Linked DNA regions of Nothobranchius furzeri. The protein of the gene in region 4 interacts with the protein of the main gene of each other region in a pairwise test. Links are inferred from orthologs where the notes say so. Each region holds a gene or a part of one and is shown on either strand. Other genes may lie near its edges.

Region 1 (4,169 bases), on a different chromosome or scaffold from region 4:
TCTAAAATAAAGTTCAAAGATCGTTGTATCTTAATTTATTACCATTTAAAATGGCCTTGTTTCCCATCTGGGCTGTTTGATTGTGGTTTTAGTTGTGTTTGGAGAACGTGGACAGTTGTAGATGTTTGGGACATGAAACTGTAGAGGCACCCAATTGGGGGGCGTTAGGGTTAAACAGGCTAAGATACATTTAAATCTTTTTATAATTACTTTTTTAATTGACTTTCCAATTAATCTGTAACAACAATTTAACTGATGGAAAATGTGAAGCTGTTCTACTATCACAGTACAAAAGAAACAAGAATCAAATGTAAATTCACTAAGAGTCTTGTCTAAAAACAGACAATAACCAAGAAAATGGTTTCACTTCTCATCAACTGCCACTAGATGGAACTGTTAAGTCACAATTCTGTTTAAAGTGGTACAAGTTGAGAAATATGAACATAAGAATTAAAATATCATCTTTATGAATAAAAAAATCTTTTACATCCAAAAATGAATGACTAGAAATGACCACACCACAGCTATGAAACTTCTTTAAAATATTTCAATATAGTAAATTATAGGGATGTAAGAAAATATCGATATGACAATATATTGTGATATTTTTTCCTGCAATATTGTATCGATCTTTAAAAGCCACATGGAATTTACATGCAAACATTTGTGTATTTTCTTTTCTTTTGGTGCAATTCAAACGCCGACCACTAGGTAGCAGCAGTGTGCAATGGGTTTTGTTTCCACCATTGAAATATAAATCCCTTTCTCTATTCCACCTTCCTCAGGATGCACTGATTTCCCTCTTTCCTATTCACTCTCTCTCTCTTTCTTAACATTTTTTTTAATCACAATTGTCTATTTTTTGCTCATTTTAAATATATTTTTAACCATTTTCTAAATTATTTTTTATATTTTTACATTTTTTGTTTTTGTGAAGCGCCTCGTGATTTTTATCTTGAGAGGCGCTATAGAAATGATATTTTCTTCTTCTTTATAAGATACCTTATATTGAACATGTTACATTTCAGTTTGGACTGGACTGAGTTTCCCTACAATAAATTCTGTCAAAAAAAAATGCTAATATCATCTGGCTGAATGTATCACAATATATTGTGATATATCGAATTTGTCTCCCCTGTATCTTGATACGTATCGTATTATCAGAGTTTCACCAATACACATCCCTAGTAAATTATCAGATTACTTACTTCTTTTTTGTTTTCTTTTCACTGGAAGCTTCTCCTCCAGGTCTGTGATGTGGAAAAATCACAACATTATATATAGTTCAGTCACTATTGATAAAATCATTTGTTTGTATTTTTATGTATTTTAGTTAAACAAATTCAACTTCTATTTGAGATCATTTGAAACACTGTCAAAATTTAAGAATTATTTATAAATCTAATTTCACTGTAAAAACTGAGTTCTCAGTTATAATTATCATTTTTTGTGGGTTTATTTATGCACAGTTAGGCTGGGCGATCTAGCCTAAAATCAATATCACGATATATTGAGGATTTCACCTTGGTATGCGCAGAAACAAAAGTTGTCCATAAATGGGGCTGTCACATGTATTACGTTGAATCAAATTTTTAAGTCACTCAAGGTTGCACAGCTTCTTAAAGGGACATGGATTTTGCCAACCTACACACATCTTTTCATTTTTTTATTATCAAATTTAATGACATGGGAACATTTATCGATAAGAGTCAGAAATTTCAATAACGATACATTTTCGATTTATTGCCCAACCCTACATGAAGTCCAGGTGTAAATGACTTGTCCTTCAAACTGTCAGAGATGACTCACCCTGTGATGCTGAGAGGTTTGTTTTCTATCTCCTTCAGCTTCTTTTTCATTTCGGTTGTTCTTGACGGTCGGTGCAAATATTTCCGTTTCCCAGTGCACTCGTAAGTCCAGTGTCCCATCTCCAAGCACTTCTGACAACGCACATTTTGTTTGTTTGCCTCCCTGTAAGCAATAAAAATAAATAAATACCTTCCAAACAGGAAAAAATACATAAACTACAGAAGTAAGACATTTGCACATACATGTATTTGTTGTCAGATTACTTAAAATTAATAATGAATGGAACAAATGATTCCAGTATAAATTATGAAAAAAATGATGGCTGCCGTAGTTTAACTCCACCAGCAGGTGTCACTATAAGCAATGAATGATGCATCGAAGACGTGAACCTCTGGGCAAAGAAAATAGTTGAGAAGCTACACGAAGCTTTATGTAGCCATCTCATAATTAATACACTAGTAATGAATACTTCATTTTAAACTCAGAAACTCGCAGGTGTTCCACCAAAGAAACTGAAACCCCACCAATAATCACAAATTATCAAAACTCTGCCCAAGTCCCGATTCTTCTCAATACTTTGATCCGACTATTGGTTATAACTATATTGACATTAACATCGATGTAAACAAAATTATTTTTTACTTAAACTGGGGTATTATAAAAATAAATAACAGCTTCAGAAGAGTACAGTTTCACACAACGTAGCGCTTCGTAGAGCCGCGGGATGCCCGTCCCTCCAAGTTCGTTCTTTACAGGCTGAATGTAAAACTGTAGGTCAGCTATAGACCGCACGTGGTAACGTAACAAATGTAGACACAAAATATACTAAAATAATATTGCTACGCTAAGTTTAAAAATGTTTTACTCACGCTTGTCTTCTCGCTATTATTCTATGCATGGGAGTCGCCATGTTTGAAGTCTCTTCTTCGTTGGTGTCAGCTCAGGGCCTATTTCCGGAAATGTAAAGGAGTGAAAAGAATACGTAACCACCCGTGTCGTCGCCATTTTGGATGGGTCTCTTCATTCTCCGAAGGCAATGCAGAGTACGCAACTATGCCCGTTTTTGTGCATCCCACGGTTACAACAACCCGCGTACAATTGTAAATAGATCATGTGGGATTACTATAGTGACTTTTCTAGCCTACCTGATAGGATTTTAGATTTGTATTTGTTTATTTATTTTGTTTAATTACACTGACAGACACACTGACAGAGGCAGACTCGCCTCTGGTAGTGTGCCGAATGGAGACTAAGATGGCAGCCGGCCACTTCGGCAGCTCCAATAGGCAGCGCCATCCCATGAGGTGTCTACGTATTTACTCTTTGTATGGGGTGACACTGGCACAGGAGTTAAGTGCTCGTCCCATAATCGGAAGGTTGCAGGTTCAAGCCCCACTCAGTCTGTCGCTGTTGTTGTGTCCATGGGCAAGATACTTAACCCCCCTTGCTTGCTGATGGTGGTCGGATGGACCAGTAGCGCCAGCGCTCGACAGCCTCGCCTCTGTCAGTGTACCCCAGGGCAGCTGTGGCTAGAATGTAGCTCATCGACCAGACCAGGGTGAGCATGACTGTGTTGTAAAGCACTGTTACGTCCCCGACAGGAGGTGTTAAAATGTGAAGGAAGGGGAACACAAGAAACATGATAGTGGGTTTAAAATGGGTTTAATTGTTATAAAAGGTTCTAAAAACAAGTGCAAACAGATGGTGAGCATTGTTTAAAAAATGCCAAACAAAAAAAAAACTCTCAAAAAGGTTAACACTAAAAGACCAATTACCAACATTAAAAACACCTGGTTAAAACTTATATTAAAAGTTTTACTGAACAGAAAGTGTTTCCAAAATCTTCAAGTTGATAGTAAAATCTGACACACTAGAAAAACACTGAGTGTTTTAAAATCCCAAAGTCAGTAAACTACAACGTTAACCTTAAAACCAAGTCAACCAAGTTGACATCAAACAAAGATCCCTTTGGATCACTCAGAGTTAAAACTATTAAAATTAAGACTCATCAAAATGAAGGGGTTGAAACCAAAATGAGGCATGAATAACAGCTTAGCCCCTGCACTGCTGCCTCCCAGACTGCTGAAGGCACGGCCTTTTTATCCCAGGTGTAGGTCACCAGATGATTTAGCTCAGCTGTGCTCCTCAGCAGCCTGGAAGAAAGGAGGAAGAGGGGCGGTGCCTGGCTGATCACCGAGGCTGGGTGATCCTGGCTCCTGCACCTGAAGAGGCCAGGCTGGTGGCCACAACAAGCTCCTTGGGAGGTTCCAGGACTCTAGAAGGTGCTATGTCAAATACAGGCCATTTACCATTTTACTTTGGTGCCTGTCACTATTTAACAGGCACTCAACCCGTTAGAG
Region 2 (3,768 bases), on a different chromosome or scaffold from region 4:
TAAAACACCTAAAACCCAAGAAAAAGCTAGATAGCATAATGTAGGTGGTACATAAATAAAACATAGAATTTAAAACCAAACAATTAAAATAGGTAAGACACAAAATAGAAAGCCGAAAGCTGAGGACACACCCATTAGGAGGACTTCACTGGCTGAAAGCCAGTTTGAAGAGATGTGACTTCAGTTTTGATTTCAAATGCACAAGTGTCGAAGCCAGGCACACTTCCAGAGGGAGTGCGTTCTACAGCTTAGGAGCGGCAATGGCAAATGCCCGCTCACCGTGGGATGGATATTTCATTTTAGGAGTGCAGAGCAATTGATCTGTAGATTGTAGTGATCGGGAGGGGAGTTGGCAAGTGAGCAGCTCAGACAGGTAGTGGGGTGCGTGATCATTCAGAGCTTCATAAGTGAACAACAAAATTTTAAACTGCACTTGGTAGGTCACAGGAAAGTGTAGATCAGCCAAGGTGGGAATGATATGGCATCGTCTGCTTGTAGTTGTAAGGAATCGTGCAGCAGCATTTTAGACTTTCTTTAAGCAGTTAACAGAGGCACCAACAAGGACTGAATATGCATAGTCAAGTTTTGAGATGATAAACACGTGAATAACCTATTCCAGGTGTGGTCTTCTAAGGATGGGTTTTTAGCGTGTCAAGACATCACAGTTGGAAAAAAGACCTCACAGTAGCATTTATCTGTGGGGTCATTGATATGTCTGCATCTAGTTTGACCCAGAGGTTGGTCGCACAGGATTAGAGATTCATGCAGGTGTGGCAAGGTGGAGAAACGAGGGCTCGAGCAGGATTTCGATCCCCAGACTCGCGGGTGAGAATCACGCACGCTAACAAGCCAACCAAAAGGATATTCCCGTGGCCAAGTTGCCAGGGCGCATGATCAATCGGGATACAGTGACAGGAGGTCACCCTGTAACACGGGAGATCAAGAGTTGAAAATTCATGCAGGTTCCTATTTTTTTTGGTTTAAAGAGAATGGCCTCAGTCTTATCATCATTAAGCCAGAGCAAGTTGAAAGCAATCCAGGCCTTAACATCAGAGAGACAAGAAGTAGATTAATGGAACCAGTTTGATCTAAGGCTAGTTAAGCCTGACAGCCATCAGTATAGAAGTAATAGTGCAAACCAGTTTTCACTAAAATATTGCCGAGAGGGAGAATATAGACAGTGAAGAGGGGTGGACCTAGGATTAAACCCTGAGGTACTCCCCAGGAAAGCAGGATGAAGACAGACATGTTTTAATTGCTCTGGCTATTCCACATTAATATTAATGTGTAGTGATTATATCACAATGCTTCACCCTGCAGGTGGATATGATGGTCTAAATATTTTGAATTCAGTGGAGCGGTACGACCCGCACACAGGACACTGGACCAGTGTGACGCCCATGGCTACGAAACGATCAGGTGAATCTGAAAACCGCTGTGTGTGTGTGTGTGTGTGTGTGTGTGTGTGTGTGTGTGTGTGTGTGTGTGTGTGTGTGTGTGTACGCGCGCGCGCTTGTGTGCATGCTACTCTGACCCTAACCGTTGTGTTCAGGAGCTGGTGTGGCTTTACTCAATGACCACATTTATGTGGTGGGGGGGTTTGATGGAGTTTCTCACCTGGACTCGGTGGAGGTGTACAACATCCGAACAGACTACTGGACCACTGTGGCCAGTATGACCACTCCTCGGTGTTACGTAGGAGCAACCGTCCTCCGAGGACGACTCTACGCCATCGCAGGGTGAGAATGAGCATCCTTCTCTCTGTATCTGATGTTTGACCTCTGACCTGTTAGAGCTGAGACGGAAGGATTAGCACTGCATGGTCATGCTAATTTGAAAATGATCGAACCTGGGCTATAAGTGGTAAGAGTTTATTATTATGCAAATGTTGAAGGAAAAAGTCGATGAACAATGAGATGTTTTAATTCCAACAGAGATTAACGGATGAAGTGATGCTGGCTGTGGCTGGAAAGCACCTAGATGCTGTTGCACTCAACTTCTCTGTTTAATTTCTGTAAAGCAGCCTTGGGACAGTTTTGTGACCAAATTGTGAATACGGGAACAAATGGAACCACAAATTGAGGCATTTTGCTACATGTATATTTGCACTAGTTTTCCAGTTTATCTGTCAGTGATCGATGAGAGTCAGGATCCCTTCAAGTTCCAACTGAATGTTTGCATGTATTTTTTTTTTCAGGCATATTTTAATCATTAATACAGAAATTTTTCATCCTTTTACAAATACAGTGATTGTGTGAGACTCAAGAAGATGCATCATATTTATTTAGACATTTAGCTCATTGCTGTGATACAACAGAGTGGTTATGTGTTGGGTTCTGCCTTCATTCACACAGGTGTGTGTGTGTGTGTGTGTTCTGGTGCGGCTCACTGCTCACTCTCTGTTTTCTCCAGATATGACGGAAACTCTCTCCTCAGCAGTATTGAATGTTATGACCCAGTTATTGACTCCTGGGAGGTCGTCACATCGATGGCGACCCAGCGATGTGACGCAGGCGTCTGCGTTCTGCGAGAAAAATGATGTTCTGCAAGAGCAAGAACCACAAGAAGAAAAGGACAGGCAGCTAGACTTTTGCTAAAATGCCGCTAAATTAAACCACAAAGGAAGACGTTTTTGTGCCAGTATGCAAAGATACTCCTAAAGGGGAAAAAAGGTGACGTGCAGCAGTTTGGGCTTTTTCCTCTGAAGGTTAGTTCACCTTTTGTCAGTGCGCTGCAGAGCCTCAGCCTCGCCGTGGTCAACCACACTTCACTTCCAAGGAGCCCATCACCACTTGCATGACTCTTCAGTGGTGTCTGTTGTTACCTGTGAGATTATTTTTTCAGTTTGTCTTCAAAGTGCAATATATTTTTACTCATCAACAAAAAAGGATGGAGCAGGTTTAGGCTCCCCTTGCTGCTAAATGCCTTATGACTTTGGCCTATCATCCACCAGTGGACGTTCATGATGCCGCCCATGAGAATGATGGTTAAGTGAACTGATGTGCCATTTGCAGGCTCTTTAATGGGTCAGTAGTTCACTCCCCTCTTTTGTAACTCATTGTGATAATGGTACTTTTAGATAGAAATCACTTTAACACAAAAGGTTTATTACTAAAGATATATTTCAAGAAGAATATTGTTTTAGAAATTGACTTACATGTACAATCCGATGATTTTTCCTCTCCTATTTGGCAAAACTGAGGGATGCATGAAGCCCCTCCCCCTCCAAACACACACACACACACACACTAACATCATTGTTTTTTGGGAAATTCAATAAAAAAAAAACTCTGAGAAACCGGTTATCTAATCAGCTTCTTCAGTCTAGTCAGCTCTCAAAGTGCAATCCAGTTCTTACACTTAAACCAGTTAGAGTTTTGGTTTAATAGACAAAACTAGTGAAAACAAAATGATTTTACATTTCAAAAATATCAGTCCAGCACTTTGTTTTCCACTTAAGTTTGGATTATTCTTTTGGTTTTGGAAAGATTACAGAAAGGTCAAATAATTAACTTGGTTAGGTTAGGTTAAAAACGTTACTGTTTTACCAAACCTGAATAAATTCTTACCAGCTGTGGTGGTCAGATTTTTAGTTTGGTACCAAGGTGTAAAATTGTTTTCCCAGCTGAGTTCAGTTCAATAACTTTGGTACAAAGTTCAAAAAGTGTCTTTTTCCCAGTCGGAACACTTGAGATGATTTATGAAATAAAGACATGAGGAGAAAAACACAAACTTCGGTTACATAAATTAGAATTGATAGATTTAAGG
Region 3 (4,031 bases), on a different chromosome or scaffold from region 4:
CACTTCTGATACTGAATCTAACTAAAGCTTGCTGAATTAGGTGTAAATAAATATTGCATCTCACGCCTGCATAAAACATGTCGTGGTGGAATCACATCTAACATGGAGGACCACCGTAGCATCACTCTCAAAAAGCTGCCTTTACATCTTTTATAAAATTTCAAAAGTCTCTGTGTTCCGTTACATTTGCTGTATTCTTATTATAAAGTACAGATGTAAAAATAAAATTATATTTCTTTCTCCTGAGCTTTTTGTTTTGATTTTACCTCAAAACGGCGTCCCTCAACGAAGGGGAAGGGTCCTTCGCGCTCCTCGGGCCCCCAATAACCTCCTAAGTTAGAGTTTCTAACAATGGTTTGCTCATGAAACCGAGGGTTAAAGTGAAAAACCACATCTGAACCTTTGATGAAGTCAACATTGAACCTGAAAAAGAAAACAAATAGTTGTTTTTCTCCCCTAACACCACATCTGACATCAGTCCCATGAGCTGAATGCTATTTGTGAACGTGTACCTGACTGCACCAGGAACAGGCTCTCCGATTATCGTGATTAAAAGTCGCGGCATGATTCCAGCGTGAAGGGGGAGATCATGCGGCAACATCTGCAAGAAACATTTACAACACAAATGAGACAGGCACTTTGTGCATAAATATATAAATAAAAACAGTTTTTACCCGATAAATGACATCCGACAGGGAAGATTCACACGCGTTTAACCTTTATTAACAACACTCTTGACTTGGTAACATACAAGTTTATTGTCAGGAAATAAAGGGAATTCAGTTAAACATTAATCAAAACTTTGACCCTGCCAACATTATTACCACAGCACCTGAATGAGTCATAACTTTCTTCATTTGTTTCAACACCCGGTGACTTCTCAAAGTAATGAAAAAGTAAAAAGTTCAGTTTAACGATTACATTTCCAACACCTCAGATCTGAATCTGTCCTGTAATGATAGAAAATATCCGAGTAAACTTTCATCATTAGGGAATAGATGTTCTGTAAAAATATAACTTATTTAATATTGCACTGAAAGAATTACACCCAGTTTATTGTTTACATTTGAACACAACTGCCATCAGATACGGAATACAGTCAGTCTTTGGCACTAATCAAACCACGCTTTGAAGCTGGAAGTGATGTCCTTGTCCGACTTTTCAATAAAATGGTGGATTATATCTGGGCTGAAAGACAAAAATAGATTTTTCTATGATTCCTTCTGAAAAGAGATTACTTCTGCTTATCATAAAAATTGCACCCGAGCAGTGTTCAAAGACGAAGGAATAAAACCCAAATGCAGCCGCCACCAAAACCAGATCATGAACGTGACCGTTTCTGCTCACCACCTTGACTTGCCACCAAACACCAAATGAGAAATACACCAGATAAGAAGTGCAGCAAGCAAGAAAAATGTTTCCAAGAAGAACAAGTACTCACCAATGTGCCTCCTGGACAGGCTGGCCCCCCATATGGACTCATAGGACTGGACCCAAAAGGGCCAGGTGCAGGAGGAAAACCACCTCCTGCCGGTGCTCCCCATGATCCAGGTGGCATTGGGGGAAACCCACCAGCAGGGAATGCTGGAAATGAACTGGGGCCAGCTGGAGCTGGGAATGTACCTGGACCTCCTGGTCCGTACATCCCATTTCCTCCTGGTTGCTGACTACCAGGAAAAGGCACATTTGGATATGGTCCAGCAGGAGCTCCAGGGCCAGAAGGAAAAGGTCCAGCTGGGTAAGGAGTAGGGCCTCCAGGTAATTGTCCTGGAACTCCTTCAGGGGGATACTGGCCAGGGAACTGCCCAGGTGCCCCAGGACTTGAGGGAAACTGGCCTGGAGCTCCTGGTGCAGGTGGGTACTGCCCAGGTATACCAGGACCAACAGGGAACCCAACAGGTGCTGAAGGAGGTCCGGAGTATTGCCCTGGTGCTCCAGGACCTGAGGGATATGAGAATGAGCCTGGTGCACCTGGGCCAGACAATCCGCCACTAAAGTCAGCAGGTGCTGTGGGCTGGATGGGAGCTCCTGGGGCAGAAGCAGGCCATCCTGGGTTTGAATGAGGCGGGGGATTTCTGTCTGGTACAGAACGATTGGTATTGTCTATCTTAGGCGGGTTTGATGGTTCGTCTACTAAAGCATCTGTCAGCTAGAGAGGGAGAGAAAGTACAATTAGCCGTCTCCACCCACAACAACAGATCTGTTCAACTACAAGCTAATAATAAAAACAATATGAAGGGACGTAAATAGGTGAGTGTAAACATTTTCAACTTACCGAGAAATCCGCCATGATCTAAAAGAAGGAACAAAAACAACTCTCGTGAGTTTATAGTAACCGGTTTTAACAAGCTAGTGTCAGAATCACTGGGCAGGTCTGAGCTCTGAGTAAATGTTTCCATCCTACAACCGTGGAGATTAACAGAATCCATTTTGACAGGCTCCAAACAACTCGACATTACTTAAATATATTACAGTGGAAAGTTACACAAATGCCATGACAGTGAATAGCATATTAGCGAGGAAACAGGAACGAATTTTCTAGTAATATGTTGCAGACTTGGCTACCGATCTAGCTAACACCAGCTAACTGTTAGTAGTTTACGCTTGTTTAGCTCAGATCTGAGTACAGTAAAATGCACTAAAGCGGATTTTTGAACATACCGGACAAAAGCTGGACTTTCCTTAAACCACGGAGGGTAAGAGCGACGAATTATCCAGCACTGGAAACGGTTCAACCTGCTTGTTGTGGCTGCCGAGGCTCACAAGTGTAAGCTAACGTTAGATGTGCTTTCACAACTACAACTCCTGAAAAGGAAAGACGCACACGCGCTTAACTGATGACGTATATTACGGGGTGGGTGCGTTCCGGTGCGCGCGCGCACACAAGCGTCCACAGCGGGGGTTTTTTTTGAGGGGGGGCAAAACTTTTCATAAACCAATCTAACTTTATTTACAATGCACATTTTACACAGTTGGGTTCGGTTGGGTTAAATATAAATACACACATTACATATAAATATAATGTACATTATATACATTATATATCAAATATAAATACATACAAGCCCACGTGGATGAGCAAAAAGGTTGACTACAACGTTTAGAAAATGGGGAAAAAAAGTGTGTGTATGTGTGTGTGTGTGCGGGCGCGCGTGTGTAACCAGTAGAATCGATCACAGCCAGACTGAGTAAATGAAGAATGAATGATTACAGCTCCTTATTCCTGATATATATGCAAGAATAAAATGTAAATATTTATTTTTATGCTGTGAAATTAAACTGGATTATTTAAACAATGTGTTAATCGTGCGGTTGTATCATTTAAAATAACGTTTTACTGCTGAGCTGAATGTATTGGGCAGGGTTTAAGTGAAGGGGTGCCTGTTTGGGATTGGTCTAACCAGTCACAAGATGATATGAAGTAAACGAAAAAAAAAAACACAGAAAGCGTTCCTGCCATTCACAACAGCAGCAGAAGCGTTAGGAGGGATTTTACGCAGCAACAATGGTGAGTTGTTCTGTTTGCTTGTGAACGTGGAGTGGCGTCGTTGTCATTTTTGTGTTTTAATAACGAACTCTTCACAAATTAATTCTGCGAATTATTTATGAAAAGTCGCAGATTGTAATTGTTAGCTTGTTAGCCTAGCATTAGTTCCACCCTCTTTTTGTGTATCGTGGCAAGTTTGTCAACGCACATCGAATATGTTTCCGGTCAGTATTTTCAGAATAAAATAGATTTATTGGCCTCGGAAAGCAACATGCATGATCATTTATCAACACACATTATTTATATAAATAATCTCTGACAATTTATGTATTAATCATTACCTGTTGATTGTCAAATTTGAAATTGATTACTTATTATTCAAATGTGTGTATTTTGTGTATTCGACCCACTCAAATGAATAATTGATGATTAAAAATATATAATATCCTTTTAATAATTTATTAGCAATAGCTGTTTCAAGGTTGTGACCAGCTATTGTGTTTTTACCGTTGAATCGGCTAGTTTGGGTAAATTTTCAAGTCCA
Region 4 (4,262 bases):
ATAATTTTTGAAGAAGTTTATTAAAAAAAAATATTAAAACTATTAGAATGATTTAAAATGCCTCAACAGAAAGAAAATGTTAGGAGTCTCTTACAGCTTACTTGATTAGATTAGTTTTCAACAATGTGTTAAATATTTTCAAATTGTGATAATTGTAGCATAAATAGAAATAAATGTTTATATTTATATACGTATTAAAGAGTCTCACTACAATTTGATGTTGACTTATTTTTTTCTAATCCTTTAAAAAACAATGGATGCGAGAAAGATAAAACACAGTATTGCCTTTATTTGGATTCACTTTATTGCACAGGTTAAAAGATTTTCTACTTTTATCAGTACATTTTAGAGTATTTGCATAGAACAGTTTCAGAGCAAAGCAGAATAACTGTTTTGCAGACACATTTAGTTGTAAGCACAAAGTTAAGACATTTAGAGAATAAAATAGGATCACATACATCACTCCTGTGAAATAAACTGAGAAAAGAAATGTTGCAAAACAGAATAACTACAAACTGAGGCTTTTTAGTGTCATAAATAAAGCTTAAAATACTGCAACTAAAAGTGACAAGGTATTTTAAGCATTTTGCATTCTGCAGGGTGTTGTTGAGCCAAAAGGGTCTCAGTCAGAATCACTGCTGCCACTGCTGCTGCTGGATGACTGTAAAGTAAACAAATATTTTGATAACTTTAGTACAATCAATTTAATAAACTGAATAATTGAATATCAAATTTTATAATACATAAATGCAGTAATTATAATAAAAATAGTTTGAGATGAGGAGGATAACCTTTACTGCAGGATAACAATAGAAATTTATACAATCAACACTATTGTACCATAATTCACATGTGACAAATCAAAGATCCAACACCATTTTTAATATTTCTACTAAATCTTCCAAAAAGCACAAAATGATTCATTTCAAACTTAAGTCAAGTTCCATTTTCTAAATGTATTACCTTGCTAAGTGACTATGTAATCTGATTATAGAAACCTGAGAGAATGCAAACTGTTCAAGATTATTTAAACACAGGGTCAAGACAAACAGCTGTCAAAAATAAAGTCATCCATCTTTTTATGCATTTGCGGAAATCTTCACACCCTTCACTTTTACTACACACATAGCTTCTACACTGAACTCATAAATCCCTTCAGAAAAATTGTGTACCGTTGTTTATGCAACAGTATGAACACCTAGATAAGTTCCCTTACTTGCAGTATTAGGAAATGTAAAGAATACAAATAATGCATGACATGATTTGCTGTACTGCTTATGTATTTGTTTTTTATGATAGTTCTGTGCAAAAAACTACAAATCTGTCATGCCTAATTTAAGCTGGTATATCTTCATAACTGTCCAGCAACTAGCACTTGTTTATTTGACTGCTTGCTGTTGTATAGTTTCAGTTTTGACTCTCTTCATCTCATTGTTCCGTTGATCTAGAAATACATATTCTTTCATTCCCTGTTTAATGACAATGTGTATTTCCTGAACTGACTGATCTAAAGAAGAGGACCTGGGCAGGTTCATTTGTTTCTGTATTAGTATTTCAGCAGCAGGAGGGATCATTTTCATTTTTTATATTCTTACTTAAAATCTGAACACACCTTGCCATGTTTGTGGTGTCCATGCTTGTGAGCTTTCTTCAGCTTCTTCATCTTCTTATGAGCTTTGTGTTCACCCAATGCCATTCCAAGCCCCATTCCTCCAGCTAAACCTCCAGCCAAGGGAAGCAACCCACCATGATGATCTTTGTGCTGGCCTTTGTGGTGACCTTTGTTGTGACCCCCTTTGGGTGAATGTGGATAAGGACCAGGATAAACACCTCCAGGGGGGGCCACTGGATATACACCTGGAGTCATAGGATAAGTATTGGGTACAGGAGTTACATAGGCCACCCCCCCTGGAGTTGCATATGGCCCCACAGCTGGGTAGTACACAGAATTTGGTGCCGGTAGGACAGTCCCTGGTGGAGGAACAGCCGGGTTTATGGAATTGTAAGGGGGAGGGAAGGCAGGGTTGTGTTGGACAGGAGGAGGGCCTGAAACAAAAAGCACAAGATCACAACTCATGCCTGAGATCAGAAAGGGTGTGAAGCAAAGAGAATCCAAATGCAAAATAAAAATATGAGTGTTACTTGCGAAATCTGATATCTTACCTTGATTTGGCCACATAGTTTCAGTTTATTTGATCAGAAAATGAAATCAGGTTTCACACAAAGTTCTACAGAAACAAACAGATTATATAGTTGATTCATTTAATTAGTTTTTAAACATGTCTTTAAAAAAACTAAACACAAAACTATACGTGCTTATTTTTCAAACTACTTAAAGAAAAAAAATTGTTTAATAATAATGATTAGAATAAGAACACCAGCAAAGTAAGATTTCAAGGTGAAAGTAATAGAAAGAAAACAGCCTCGCTTTTTATGTAGGACTGCTGTAGCGATATAAAGAAATGTACCTGCGCAAGCTGAAAACCGAGAACACGTCAAATAACCTACACCTTAGGGTAGGTTAGGGATTATGTTCAACTGAACAGATACATAATTAACAAAATGCCATCGATCTGACTCATGAGACAAAGTAAATAATGTTTTGTCAAGTAAACAAACTGTTCTTGTATCTTTACTATACTAGTAATACCTAAGTATACGTAGAGATCTTACCTCTGCTGTTGCTGAGTATGGAACTTGAAGTTTCGTGTTTGACTTCCGCATTTTATGTTGGGGCCACAGACCTGAATATGTAGGGCGCTGCAGAGCGTAAGCGTCACCACGTAAGCGTCACCGCCATATTGGATGGGTCTCCTCATCAATGCGAAGTGGTAACATCCGTTTTTGTGTAGCCTACAAACACCGTGCGGGCGGTGTTAAATGTGACTCCTCACACACGACGTACCGCCTCCCTTCGTGCAGCCCGAACCATCAAAGCACACTCACCTACATTTCTGTCTGACATAAAGAGTGAAGTAACCTGCGCCGCACGTGAGGGGAAATCCTGGCTGAGCTAAAAGTTTGCGTTGGTAGAGTGATGAATAAAGTGGTAAAATAAGTACATTTTCTTGCGCTATAAGTTACTGTTTGAACATAAATGCCTCTGAAGATAATTCACTCGTTTATTCACAGGTGTTGGAATGAACTCTGACATGAGGAAATTAGCTGACTTGTTTACGGAGGATTCAGAAAATGATGCGACATTTTATGGCTTTTCTGACTCTGAATTCGTAGATACGGTACGTTTTTATTTTTTAACAAATATTTTAGATTAGTCATGTCGACATGTGTGATGTATGGCAGAGAACGGCTGCCCTTTTAATTGTTTTACAGTATTTCAACAAGAATTTTAACTTTTTTTCTGTTAAGCTACTAGAAATTTTCTCAACAAGTAATTTTTACATTTCCAAACAGCGTTTGGATTATGACGATGAAGTCCAGCTTGACATGTCCCCCAAGGAACAGCAGAAAACCACATCTGCAGGCCTTCCACCTTTCAGACTGAGGGTTGCATTACGCTGTGTGCCTTCCATCCAGCTGTCCACAGGTCATGATGCAGAAGACAGTGAGAAAATAACAACTAGAAGAGGAGTGAAGAGGCTGAGAAACACCAGTAAAACTAAAAAGGACAGAGCTGTAAAACGTGAAGAAGAGGAGTCAACAGTTGGCCATCCTTCTCTGTCTGAGGAGCGTGGATCTGATTCAGACGAAGATGTTTTTGATAATTTTCTGTTAAAGAGAGAGCAGAACATCAAGGCTAACAAAGCAATGGTGACTCAGAAACATTTAAATTTTAGTTGGAAGTCAGTAATTAGAAATCTGTAATTTGAAAAACACTGCATTTAAACCCAATAATGGTCAATTAGTGCTTAAAACTTTAACAGATACCACATTCTCAACAGCTCAAAACCTCTATTAGAGGAGCCAATAAAGAGGATAACTGATTTTTTTGTTATTTGATCCTGATACTGGGGTCCAGAAACCTAATTTGATATATTTTGCTGGCAAGTCATTCTGATCAAGCAAGTAAAACAATAATAATGCATATAAAATACTTAGATTTTTAAGGCTGTAACTCTGGCATGTTATTTATATTACACTGCTGATTTTCAAAAGGGAATTTTTTTGAATTATTATTTTTACAGTTGGCTCAGCTGATGGCAGATCTGCAGAAAATTCCAGAAGGTGCAGGGATTTTCAAAAGATCAGGCAAACGGAAGGCAAAAGTAAGACACTCTGTGAGTGCACTGAAAAAAGGCAAA
Region 5 (3,984 bases), on a different chromosome or scaffold from region 4:
AGATAAGTTTATTTTTTCCAGTTTTCTATTTTGAATGCAGATGTTACAGGAATGTCAAAATATTATTTAGAAAACATTTGATCTTGCCAAATGTTTTCAGGGACATCAGCTTTTATGGGGAATCTTCTGATTACTTTATCATTTCCTTTTTTACTAAGTTAATTCTAGATTTACTTCTGGCAGTTTGGTGTGTGTGTGTGCGTGTGTGTGTGTGTGTGTGTGTGTGTGTGTGTGTGTGTGTGTGTGTGTGTGTGTGTGTGTGTGTGTGTGTGTGTGTGTGTGTGTGTGTGTGTGTGTGTCACAGCCACAGACCTAATGATGACAGCACGTCTGGGGGCCCAACATCTGTCAGCATTTTCCATCTTCAAGCCTGGCTGCTGTCAATTAACCCCTGGCAAATAAAACCACACCAGACTTTGCTGGTAAATCAATCAGGAAAAGTGCAAACATTGCTAAATAACGAGTTTTTGTTGATTACAGAGATATCATTTATGAAAACAAAGTATTTTTAATTAAAACTTGAAATATGAACTAGCTAAACATTTGGAGGTACATGTTTCGATTTATGAATTTCTGTCACTGGCTGCTGCACAAACTACCTGAATCCTTTTTCGTTTGCTGATTATCCTAATGCTTTTGTTTGTTTGTTTTTCTGCAATGTGTAAACTGTTTTATTTATTGTTGCTCTGCAAGGACATTCCTAGATGTAAATCTCAACGACCCTTTCAGTTTAAAAAACTTTAATTAAATTTAAAAAGTGGTCAAAACTACTGTCCATGTGTTTAAACCTTGTTGATGTTGAAGTACCACCACAGACCCAATGATGACAACATCCAACTGTTTCCTTTAAATATATCCAGTGTTCATTGTAATGCTTATTTTTTCTTCTTGAATGAACGTCGTTTTGATCTTTGCCTTATTGGCTAGCTAGGTCTCCCTTAATAAAGATTTTTTAACCTCCATGGGCTTTCCCTGGTTAAATAAAATAAAATAAAATAAAATAAAATAAAATAAAATAAATAAATAAATAAATAATACTAGTAACTGTAAGGAACCATAAGATTTATTTTATTTATTTATATTTTTTGGAGACGATCTTTTTTTTTTGTAGGTCTTTGTTTTTAGCACATGTCCAGCAGGTGGCGACATTGAGCCACTGATTTTGTTTTCTAAACAGGAAATTAGAAGAAGAGAGGGAGGAAGCAGTAGTTTCAGGTGCAAATGTTTCCGGTCGACGGTATTGTTCTTGTAGACTTGCATTCGCTCTGAAATATATATTTTTTAAAACAAATTTGTAGTTTTATCACCAAAAGCACAATGGCGGCACCAGGTAGGGGTTCTGTTTGAGTGTTTTTAGGCTAATTTTTTGATCATTTAGCGTAGATAAGATAAGTAAAGTGGAGCTCATCTTTACAACAGTTAAACCTCCAACAAACACGGAGACTACTCCTGGCATTTTCGCACAAATCCTGGATATATTATAACTTAGCTAAATATCGTTAAACAATTTCTGTGTTGAAAAAGAAATAATGCAGTCATAAAGCGCTTTCCCGCGTGAATCTTCGTGATATTTAACCTCTTGTATCACCTGACAGCTGCCAACAAAGACAACATCAGAGCTGGCTGTAAGAAATGTGGCTATCGTAAGTAACTTTATCTAATAGATTACTTATTAGTACAAATGTATGCATTCGATTTATTTTTCAAGTTACATTTGAAAAGTGAATTCTTTGAATCTTAAATGCTTTTGGAGACAGATAGAGGTACTTTGTTTAAAATGAGCCAAAAACAAGTTATATGATTTAAAATATGCTATCAGTAATGAAGAACTGTGTAAATAATTAGATTTAATGTTTTCACTGACGTTTTTCCATCTGAACAAATGTTCTTTTCCTTAATTTAGTGTTTCAATTGTGATCTCTTTTTGTGTTCGTTTCTCAGCGGGACATTTGACGTTTGAGTGCCGAAACTTCGTCCGGGTCGACCCGCAGAAAGACATTGTTCTGGATGTGAGCAGCACCAGCAGCGAGGAGAGTGAAGATGACGGACCAGTTTCTCAGCACACAGAGAAACTGGGACGGAGTGGTCAGCATCACAAAGGTCAGATGGCTTAAAATTTGCTTAAATCAATAATATTTTGATTAAAATAAAGCAAAGAAAGTGCAGACTACCATCCATCTATCTATTTTCCTCCGCTTATCCGGGTTCGGGCCATGGGGGCAGCAGCTTAAGCAGAGAGGGCCAGGCTTCCCTTTCCCGAGCCACTTGGTCCAGCTTCTCTGGGGGAATCCCAAGGCGTTCCCTGTCCTACTGAGAAACATAGTGCCTCCAGCTTGTCCTTGGTCTTCCTTTAGGTCTACTCCCAGTTTGACGTGTCTGGAAAACCTCACCAGGGAGGCATCCTAACCAGATCCTCTCAATGTGGAGGCAGACCGTCACCGCTTACTTTACATAAGAAACTAAAAAAAATCAAACAAGAGACTTTCAAATGCTAATCAAACTTTCTGTTCTTCTATGATTCAGGTCCTGTTCTGCTTCTACTGTGACTTGCTTTGATTCAATGTCGACTTTTCCTTTCATTATTTTCAATGTTTTAGATTCCAATGATGATGACGATAGAAAAAAGAAGCGGAAACAGAAGAACAAAGACAGAAAGTCAAGAAAAAGGTCATTTATCTTGTGTTTATATTAAGATACGTGTTTTTAATGCTCCTATATTCTCAATTACTGTGTTGAAAAAAGCATGTAAGTTGTTGGAAAATATTTTTCATTCCACTAGTTAAAGATAGACTAATAATGTATTATTTTAGATGTTTTTATAGTTGATACTTAAAGATTTGAAGTGTTTTCTTGGTTTTACCAAAGCCAGTAACTATTATTTAAAATTTAGATCTTACTCGTCGTCGAGTGATGGGGGCACAAAAAAAAAGAAGAAGCGAAGCAGATCAAGCTCATCGTCGGATGAAGAGGAGAGAAGAAAGAAAAAGAAACTAAGCCGCAAGAAGAAGAGTAAAAAGAACAAAAAAGAGCACGGGAAGCATCACAAAATGAAAGAGAAGAAGAGGAAACACAAATCATCCTCATCATCCTCTTCCACCTCTGGTGAATCATCAGACAGTGACTGAACAGTGTCGTTTCTGGACGACGTGTTTATTCAGAAGTGTAGATGGTCTGCGTTTTGACACTTTATAAATGCAGCAAATCAAATAGTTTCATCTGAGCTTTCCTTTCTGAGTGTTAAAGTAAATTTTGTCTGCTACAGATTAATGGCAACAATATGACGTAAGGGTTAAAATGACTGCTGATTTCCTCTGAGACTGTCAGGAACCCATCTTTATACAAGGATTTAAAATATTAAACACTTCATACTGCAGGTTAATAAGTTCCTATTTCTGTTATTTTTATGTATTTTAGTCAAAAAGGATCAATTTAAAAGGTCAAAGTGCTTTTAAACATGAGGGCAGTACGGTGGTTCAGTTGGTAGTGCTGTTGCTTTGCAGCGGGAAGGTCACAGGTTCAAATCCTGACCTTTCTTTGTGTAGGTTGCATGTGTGAGGTTTCTGCAAAAATGCATAAACAGTCAGTGAAATGCATCATCTTTGCTGTAATTACTGCAGGTTTGTCTTAGTTTTCTGTTGATCACTGACCCTTTACTGGGAATAAAACATGTTTGTTTCAGTTTAATCTGTCACTGTTTTCCCTTTGTAATCTAATCTGACCAAATTTAATAAACCACCAATCCTGATTGACAAAAAAAAAAAAAAAAACGGACTAAATATGGTTCATATGCAGCCACATGGCCACTAGAGGGAAGCATCACACCTCATATTTCTATCTGGTAAACTGCTGTTTAACAACATCAGCACTTAAAAGAGAAGTTTCAGCTTCATGAAAGGTTTGGAGTTATTCACTAGTGCTAAAGATGCTCAAAAGTCCCTAAAAGAAGTGCATTCAGATCCTTTCACAATAAGGCTGTATTAAGTA

What was found.
Region 1: the proteins of prr13 (region 4) and zcchc10 interact in binary tests that used the Homo sapiens proteins (3 or more experiments, as listed by UniProt). The two-hybrid records come from large-scale screens. The link is inferred for Nothobranchius furzeri from reciprocal best matches to the Homo sapiens genes PRR13 and ZCCHC10.
Region 2: the proteins of prr13 (region 4) and kelch-like protein 12 interact in binary tests that used the Homo sapiens proteins (3 or more experiments, as listed by UniProt). The two-hybrid records come from large-scale screens. The link is inferred for Nothobranchius furzeri from reciprocal best matches to the Homo sapiens genes PRR13 and KLHL12.
Region 3: the proteins of prr13 (region 4) and lgals3a interact in binary tests that used the Homo sapiens proteins (3 or more experiments, as listed by UniProt). The two-hybrid records come from large-scale screens. The link is inferred for Nothobranchius furzeri from reciprocal best matches to the Homo sapiens genes PRR13 and LGALS3.
Region 5: the proteins of prr13 (region 4) and srek1ip1 interact in binary tests that used the Homo sapiens proteins (3 or more experiments, as listed by UniProt). The link is inferred for Nothobranchius furzeri from reciprocal best matches to the Homo sapiens genes PRR13 and SREK1IP1.

The regions. Positions count from the first base shown.
Region 1 is NC_091750.1:56,826,543-56,830,711, reverse strand, and holds the start of zcchc10 (zinc finger CCHC domain-containing protein 10), read right to left. Parts: upstream 2,805-4,169; 5' UTR 2,720-2,804; coding exon 2,679-2,719; intron 1,972-2,678; coding exon 1,810-1,971; intron 1,251-1,809; coding exon 1,209-1,250; intron 1-1,208.
Region 2 is NC_091755.1:52,034,847-52,038,614, reverse strand, and holds the end of kelch-like protein 12, read left to right. Parts: intron 1-1,320; coding exon 1,321-1,419; intron 1,420-1,552; coding exon 1,553-1,739; intron 1,740-2,412; coding exon 2,413-2,539; 3' UTR 2,540-3,268; downstream 3,269-3,768. UniProt on the Homo sapiens protein: Substrate-specific adapter of a BCR (BTB-CUL3-RBX1) E3 ubiquitin ligase complex that acts as a negative regulator of Wnt signaling pathway and ER-Golgi transport.
Region 3 is NC_091758.1:19,583,461-19,587,491, forward strand, and holds the start of lgals3a (galectin-3), read right to left. Parts: upstream 2,810-4,031; 5' UTR 2,662-2,809; intron 2,294-2,661; 5' UTR 2,291-2,293; coding exon 2,276-2,290; intron 2,150-2,275; coding exon 1,442-2,149; intron 602-1,441; coding exon 513-601; intron 424-512; coding exon 267-423; intron 1-266. Other genes in the region: gmfb (glia maturation factor beta), read left to right, coding at 3,506-3,508. UniProt on the Homo sapiens protein: Galactose-specific lectin which binds IgE. May mediate with the alpha-3, beta-1 integrin the stimulation by CSPG4 of endothelial cells migration.
Region 4 is NC_091743.1:62,074,330-62,078,591, reverse strand, and holds prr13 (proline-rich protein 13), read right to left. Parts: upstream 2,808-4,262; 5' UTR 2,674-2,807; intron 2,229-2,673; 5' UTR 2,180-2,228; coding exon 2,164-2,179; intron 2,047-2,163; coding exon 1,613-2,046; intron 662-1,612; coding exon 623-661; 3' UTR 270-622; downstream 1-269. Other genes in the region: cell division cycle-associated protein 7, read left to right, coding at 3,141-3,239, 3,415-3,771, 4,146-4,238. UniProt on the Homo sapiens protein: Negatively regulates TSP1 expression at the level of transcription. This down-regulation was shown to reduce taxane-induced apoptosis.
Region 5 is NC_091748.1:63,077,273-63,081,256, reverse strand, and holds srek1ip1 (protein SREK1IP1), read left to right. Parts: upstream 1-1,184; 5' UTR 1,185-1,317; coding exon 1,318-1,330; intron 1,331-1,595; coding exon 1,596-1,643; intron 1,644-1,941; coding exon 1,942-2,100; intron 2,101-2,597; coding exon 2,598-2,667; intron 2,668-2,890; coding exon 2,891-3,125; 3' UTR 3,126-3,684; downstream 3,685-3,984. UniProt on the Homo sapiens protein: Possible splicing regulator involved in the control of cellular survival.